Linked DNA regions of Rattus norvegicus. The protein of the gene in region 2 purifies or fractionates together with the protein of the main gene of each other region. This does not show direct contact. Links are inferred from orthologs where the notes say so. Each region holds a gene or a part of one and is shown on either strand. Other genes may lie near its edges.

Region 1 (3,647 bases), on a different chromosome or scaffold from region 2:
AACAAGCAGCAGTTGTACAGAGAACAGGCAGTACTCGCAACTCTACTCTGCCCTCTCTCCTCCTCCCTCACCAGTGCTATTGAGCCCTGTGGCAAGCATAGCTCATTTATAAAGTGCTGTACATGGATGGAGACACAATACACATAATATACTCCAACCCAGCTTAAAGTCAGTGTCTTTAATAAAAATCTTTTTTGTCCCTCCCCCAAAAGAAAACCAGAAGGCAACAGTCTGGCAGTACAAAAAATATACACTGGAAGAGATGACTTGTCTGGTATCAAAGTCCCATCTGGACTAAGAAAGGCAAAGCCCATTTAAGACAAGGCACTAACGCAGTGACTGGGGAGACTATGGCCGTTTCTCACCTATACATGCAGCACCTTAGACTTCTATAAGCAACACCATTCATTTCTAATTAAGCAGCAACATGCCAGAGTGAGGCTGAGAGTCAAAAACAATTACTAAGATCTCCTGTTCAGCTTCATGCCTCGGTCAGTGCCTATGGTCCAATACAGGGTGGAGATGCCACCATGACACTTAAGGAACCTGGATGGTAAAGGGCGGGCACCTACACCGTGCTGTAAAGTATGTACCTCTGAGGTGACCCACAATGAAAAGAGAATCCCAATCTCAGGTGCCTTTCTCAGTCACTAATAATGACCTCCAGGAAACACCTGCAGTCACCCTAACTTAGTATGACACTCAGAAAACGATCAAGAGTAGCTAATGTGGGGCCCTGGGTTGGTCCCCAGCTCCGGAAAAAAAAAAAAAAAAGAGTAGCTAATGTGACCTACAATTACAAGGAACAGGCTTGACTCCAACCCTACCCTGAAGGATAAAGCGCACTCCTAACAATTAACAGGGAATCTAAAGTATCTTCTTTGAATATGGCTACCTCTTTCAAAGGCTCATGTTGGAACCTTCTGAACACAATTCTCTCCTTTCTTACTGAAATTTATTGTAAAAAGATAACAAATTTTGGGGGATTTATAAGCTTACAGATTGAACCTTGTGCAATGGCATCTTACAAAGACAAAGTCAGTACAGTGGAATCCCAAAAACTATCTCAAAAGAACACATTTAAGGAAACTTAAGCCACGAGACTGTTGCATTATGATTTAATCTAATTGCACACAAAAAACCCCCTGGAACCACAGCTCCTCCAGATTTCTAAGAGAAAAGGTTTACATGCCTCCATATTCAACTGTGCATCATCACAATTAACCAGTGTGGATTTTACATCATGATGGATCAATCTGGAATCCCATGCAACACCTCAAGTTATAAAATGGAACGAATTATAAAATTTTGTTGAATGTCAATGACTTCATGCTGAAGATCAAAGCCACTTTTTAAGGGCAACTTAAAGGATTTACAGTGTGTCATAGATTGGTGCTTTATAAAATGTTAGTCACTAACTGCCATGATCCTGAACTGACTTCCACACCCAAAACATGGCTCTCATAGGTGACAAGCAAAGGGGGGAAAATTCCTTCGCTAACGCAGTGCCTCTCAGTTGTTTCTTACAAAGAACGAACTGGGTAACCAACTGCTTTCCAGGGATAAGAGCAATGGGGGTTCACTCAGCTGACTGCTTACTACACAATTATGCTAGTATTTTATTAATTCAAAAGCACTTTACAAGAAAATATAAGTATGGTTTCCAATAGGAATGTTATACCTGGACTTGATACCAAGCTCACAGATTTTGAGTGTGCAAGGAAAAACAGGCTTTCAAGTTAAACAACAATTTGTAACCAAAACTTTAATCCCAAGGATTCTCACAAACATATTACAAATGACAGCATGAAAAAAAATCTTGCACAGTAACTGAGTTCAGCTCTACAATGTACCCTTAAACTGATAGGACACTGGTATCTTAGTTTTACATTTCCAAATAAAGATGTTAGACAGCTCTGCATCCCCATACAGCAACCAGGAAGGAACCACTGTGAAAACCTTCAGAGTGTGGTTCCTACCCTTTATCTGTTGGTTGTGTTCACAGCAGCCTTTAAAGGCTGCTCACCATTTCACCCACAGTGCCACACTGTGTCTCAGCCACTAGGGGAACTACAGCTTTAGTCCATTTCCGCTAGGTGCTTGACGTCATCAGTACATCACTTCAAACTGGGCAGGATCTAGGTTTATTTCAGTCTATGAAAAACTAAAATTCAAAGAAAATTCAATCTCGCTTAAGGGAACATTGTAAAGTAACAATTCTTAATATCACATGCCTCATATGATCCATTTGAAACCATAGAGAATTACATCGTTTTGTGTGTCACTGTTCCAAGAGACAAAACAAATTTGAACAGCTAAAACATCTTAAAAATGCACCAAGCTTATGAAGTCTCAAACAAAACTTTAATTTCCTGTACATACTCCTGTCAAATGAAGTTATTTCCTGTACACCACTTTTGCCAACTGGTCTTCTATTTCCTTTCATTTGACCTAGATCGGCTAAAAAAACAAAAGAAAAAAATTAAACATTATCTTAGTACACAGATTACATATACATATCTTCAATACTTCAATCATTGATCTTACCTACGAGACCTAGAGAAGGATCGAGACGGCTTGTGATTTCTCTCACGAGACAGAGACCTTTCTCTTCTCCTATCTCTAGAAAGAGACCTAAAGCAAACAGAAGATACATTAGTTTATCAGAAATTCACCTCGAAGAAAGTCTAGCTCAGTCTAACTTAGTGCTGACTGTATGGTACCCTTGTCACTGTAATTACTAGCCAGAGAGTTAAGCTTCCATTTCTAAGAACAGGGCACCAAAACATTTACCTGCTCCGGCTTCGCGAAAAGCTTCTCCTTCTTGGGGATCTAAAAGCAGAAATAGTAAAATTAGACTAATTGTCAATTATTGTATGTGGCGTTGAGGCATTTCCCAACTTTTCAATTTCACTGTTGGGCCCAGTGAATGTGCCGGAGAACTGGCACTCATCGTCCAAAAATAAAAAAAGAAAAGAAAAAAAAAAAAAAAAAGGGCACAGAAGGATTAAGGAACAAAAAGCTCAAGTGAAAAGCAGGTATTCCAACCATGGATTCATTTTAACAAAGAATGCTTCACAGCAGATCTGTCCAATGCAAAACTTCATGTCAAACTAACTCCACTACCCCACAACACCACACCAAAATGTAGTCCCACAAGTAGTTCCAAAAACTGTACCATAAACCAGTATTTGGAACCCATGCAAAACCTTTAAGTCTCTAACAAGACTTAAGTACCAGGTGAATAGTGTAATTTTGTGAAAACGCGGTGGGTGTGGTAAACATCGATGCCATTTAGTGCTACATTAGAACTGCATTTGTGATGTCACATTTAAGAGTGTGTTTAGGCTTATCAAAATTACCGTAGCTTGGCCCACACTTCACCCCCATTTTTTTTTAAACTTTGAAAACTGTTAGTAAAACCATTTAAAGGTGATAGGATTCAACAAAATTTTGCTAGGAAGAAAAGCTGAAATCTGTTAGAGATATTAAATTTTAGTTTGGCATCTCACACATGCACATAAGCTCACTTGAAGGTCTAGTCACATTATGAGTTCCCTATCACCCTTAAAAGTTGTTTCAAGCAATATATTGTACGTTACCATTCAATTATGCACAGCCAGCCTTTGATCCAGAAAAAGAATTAC
Region 2 (4,265 bases):
GGGGTGCCCAGACACCAGAGGAGGGGAGGGGGAATGGAGGAAGTGAGGAAACCACAGGGAGAAGGTATAGAGAAACCATGAGGAGAGACATGGACCAGAGCAGACAGCAGGTGACAGGGCATGTGTCCGGTGTCAGCAGCCTAGTCAGGTGAGAGTCTCAGAACCTGGCCAGCTTAAGCTTTACGGCTTGTTAATAAAACACCAGGCTAGAGCAGGCTTAGAAACACCAGCAGTTATCTGAGAACAAGGAGGACATAGAAACTCCATGAATTAATCTCACACTCTCCCAAACATCTTAACTCCAACAGTGGGAGACCAAAGTACAAGGTCACTTCTTATTCTTATTTTTCACCTTTACTTATCTGTGTGACTGAACATGTGTGAAACTTCTTTCAAAGCCGGGAAGAGGATGCTGGACCTGAGGCTGCAGTTATAGGCAGCTCTGAGCCACTCAGTGTGGGTACCAAGAACTGAACTTGGGAACAGAGCGAGCGATCTCCACAGCTCCCAGAGAGACAAACTGCTACAGACAGAATGGATGTGGGGCTTCTACACCAGGACACCAGAACTAAGAAACTGCAACGCCAACAAGAACTTCCCAAAGGAGGCAGAAAGGGGACCTCTCCCTTTAATGCACCAGCTCCTAAAGTCTGAAGTATGATGTAAAGGATAACTGGTCATTTATAGTTCAGTAGTAGAGAAGGCCCTGGGCTCTGTACCTAGCATGCACCTTTAATCCAAATAGCAGCCAGAATTCTGAGTTGGAGGCCAGCCTGGTCTACAGAGAAACCCTGTCTCAAAGGAAAAAGAAAAGAAAGCTAATGAAAAAGTACTTTACACAAATCCATAGATCTACATTCAGGACCTAGGGCTACATCAGCGTAGTGTGTGCAATGACCTCCATAGGACCCAGAATACACATCCAAAAACAAGTCGGCATAAATAAATAAGGCAGGCTCAGCTCCCCACAGCTCTCCCCGAGGACCCAACTCGCTCTCAGCGCCCACAACTTACTGTGCAATGACATCTCTCCCTTTAATTATCTGCTTGATAGCACGCTGTTGGATCGCAGAAGGTTTTTCAAAACCTAGAAATGCAAAGAGGAAACACTGTAACTCCCCAGGACTGTGACGGCATGAACTACCTGGGGAACACACACTTGCTCCTTCCTGCCAATCCCAGGCAACACAGGCAGAGCTGAGCACATCTTCACAGACCAGCCTACAGGACTACCTGTCAAGATGCTACCCACTACACCAACACTTGGAGGGCAGAGGCAGGAGCATCAGGAGTTCAAGGCCAGTCTAAGCCACACCAAACCCGCTCTACAAGCAAAAGCACAAACCCAGAAGCACTGCAGTTGCTGCCCTTTCCTGCTACCAAGCACTCAAACCCCAGCTGGTGGTGTCTCCCGAGTACTGAGCCTGCACAGGCATGGGGAGACGCCCTGTGCTGCTCTCCTGTTTGCACGAAGGCCCATCATCAAGGGACCACCCACCTGCTGGGCCATCACTACTAGCAAGGAGAACAGTATGAAAGACTGGACAAGGCTGTGCACTCCCTTAATCCCAGCAGGAGAAGCTGAGCAGGGGGATCTCTGTGAATTCCAGGCCACCTGGTTCACAGAATGAGTTCCAGACCAGCCAGAACTAGGTAGAGAGACTGTGTCTTAAAACAAAACAAACAATGAAAACACAAGTATTTTCCAAATAAGCAGATAGGATTTATAAGAAAAGATGTTGTTAAACATCTTGGTGACGCACACCTTTAATCCCAGCATCTGGGAGGCAGAGGCAGGGGATCTCTGAGTTAGAGGCCCAGTTTGGTCTACTAAGAGTTACAGGACAGCCAGGGGTACATGGAGAAACAAAACAAAACAAAACAAAAAGCAAAACAACAAAGAAAGCAGAAACAAAAAGAGTTCATTCGGCCTCCCTCAAATGCTCCTAAGCAAATACCAACAGCATGACCCACCATTCACTCAAAAAAGCCAGGAATGCACTGCATCTGCTGCCAGCAGATCCTTTAGCTCCACAATAACATCCCCATCTCTCCTATGGTCCGGCCATCACCCCGCCTCCTCTTCTAACTCCAAATCCAGACACCAAAATAAACTTTCAAACGGTAAGCCTGATCCTATCGATTCTGCTCAGAACTCTGCGGTGGCTGGCTCCCCGCTGTATTTAGGAGTGAATCTCAAATTCTTTACTCATGCCTTTAAAACATGACGAGGGGTTTCTTTCTTATGTTCCTGGCACTCGTCAGGCAATGGCTTCAAGAAGCCAGGACCAGTTGTTCCCTCTCCCCTGGGGATTCTGAACGCCTCTGGGAGCTCTCTTTCGGCTCTTTTAACTCACCGTTATCAATCTATCTACTCTATCCAGTCGCTCATTCTCTTGTTTTCCCAATTCTCACCGCTTGAAGCACCCTTGCTTCGTATTTCCCGCTTCCTTAGGAAGCTTTAAACTCCACAAGGCACGAACGCACCAGATTTGGAGCCCCGACTTCCCCATCAAAGCTTCGGGGCACCTCACAGGGACACACACATGGCTATCCGCTACACGAGCGACTGGAGGAGCCTGGCTGACTGCAGCACCGGGGAACCCCGAGCTCTGGAGCTCGGACGCACGTTCCCCACCCGGTCTGAAGCGGCCCGTCCCCCAACCTCCCCTTCCCCGAGGCCCGCGCCCCACCGTAGGCGTAGATGCCGCGCAGCAGGTCCTCCCGAAGGCCCATGGTGTCGAACGTGGGGGTCACGTCCACCTCCTCGCTGGTCTCGAACTCCACTTTGGTCATGTCCTCCTCTTTGAGCAGCCGCTTCCGCGCGGAGCCCGACGTCGCCATCGTGGCCGTGGCCGCCATGATCCCGACCCCACTAATAGACAACTGCGAGCTGCGGCGGGAACCGGAAACAAGGCTCGCGCCGCCGGCCCGGTCGGGAGGAAGTGACGCAAACACAGCGCCGCGGAAGAGCGTCAGGAGGGGTGGGAGGCAAAGCGCTCCAAGCCTCGCGATATTCCGTGCTCCGCGGGATTCGGCGAGGGACTGGGCTGGCAGTCTCTGGATGTCCGTGACTCTGCATACTCTTGTCTCTTCTGGGTGTCTGCAGCCTACTTGGGATAGGGATGTGGGTCTCAGGGAGGAGCAAGAGTGACGCCAAGGTGTCCCTGAAGGTACAGAGCAAAGGAAGAGGGCACTGTCCTGTGGGCTCCGCGCTCCAGCGCTGCTGACTGCGTTGCCATGGCAACCATAGCGTGGCGACCTGGGAGAATCAAGCTGCTCTCCCGGGGTGGTGGATGGGAGGAATCGGTGGAGACCGAGTGGGTAGATGTTTTTGCCTGGGAGAGCAGGGGACGCCCAAGCTGCCATCACATCCGAGAATCCTTTAGAGCCTCTGACCCGGCGTGGTGACCCCAGTCACTCTGGAGGATCCTGATTTTCAACGCAGGCTCCAAAAGGGCCTTGCTATTTGGGGCATGTCTTTCTGTTTGTGAGAGTGGATCCCAGGACCCCTGTAATTTCGAGTCGTAACCCGAGTTCTAGCAAAACTTCATTTGCATGTGGCCTCTTTCTTTTTTTCTGCTTTTGAGGAAAGATGACTAAACTGTTAAGGGCTGTTACTCTTCTTCCAGAGAACCTTGATTGTGTTCCAGCCACTTAGACCGTGTGACTCACGCAGCCTGTATATTCCAGCTCCAGGCGATCCAGTGCTTCCAGCCTCTGTGGGGGCCACACTCGTGGTGTGTACACACACGCAAATACACAAATACTCAAACAAGTCTTTAAAAGCTACTGTGAAAGACTCATGTCGATAAGTTTAGTTACAACCAGATCTTTTCATGGAGAAGTTGTGGGTTGCAATGTACCCATGTTAAAACAAGTTCTTTATTACTGCCTTCTCTTTGAGAGCTCAGCTCCCGCTCTGGTATCAGGATTTGTCCAGACCAGATAAACCATATAATACATGTGGTATTAATCAGAGCACTAAAGGCATAGAGTTGGCCAAGTTCCAGTTCTCATGCCTTCTCACTCAATGAGGATTTAGTCCACGTGCTCATGCCGTTTTTTGTTTTGTTTTGTTTTTTTGCAAGCCTGACTCGAAGGGTTGTTTTGCAATCTTGGCTGTAAAAGACACAGGGATTTTAATGACATCCCAAGAAAAGAATGTAAAGTCTCCATTTCATACTGTCTGTTGAAATGAGTAATTATAGCTTGTGGTTACTGTTTAAAACGCTGTTTCATCTCACTGTTTTACTTCATCAGAT

Evidence for each region. The genes of interacting proteins can lie anywhere in the genome.
Region 1: the proteins of Eif4a3 (region 2) and Srsf3 purify together in Homo sapiens (affinity purification with mass spectrometry; 3 studies listed by BioGRID and IntAct, with this or other methods). This does not show direct contact. The link is inferred for Rattus norvegicus from reciprocal best matches to the Homo sapiens genes EIF4A3 and SRSF3.

The regions. Positions count from the first base shown.
Region 1 is NC_086038.1:7,100,029-7,103,675, reverse strand, and holds the end of Srsf3 (serine/arginine-rich splicing factor 3), read right to left. Parts: exon of another isoform or gene 2,880-3,647; intron 2,833-2,879; coding exon 2,794-2,832; intron 2,635-2,793; coding exon 2,548-2,634; intron 2,461-2,547; coding exon 2,433-2,460; 3' UTR 159-2,432; downstream 1-158. UniProt on the Homo sapiens protein: Splicing factor, which binds the consensus motif 5'-C[ACU][AU]C[ACU][AC]C-3' within pre-mRNA and promotes specific exons inclusion during alternative splicing.
Region 2 is NC_086028.1:105,054,640-105,058,904, forward strand, and holds the start of Eif4a3 (eukaryotic initiation factor 4A-III), read right to left. Parts: upstream 2,923-4,265; 5' UTR 2,863-2,922; coding exon 2,694-2,862; intron 1,088-2,693; coding exon 1,015-1,087; intron 1-1,014. UniProt on the Homo sapiens protein: ATP-dependent RNA helicase. Involved in pre-mRNA splicing as component of the spliceosome. Core component of the splicing-dependent multiprotein exon junction complex (EJC) deposited at splice junctions on mRNAs.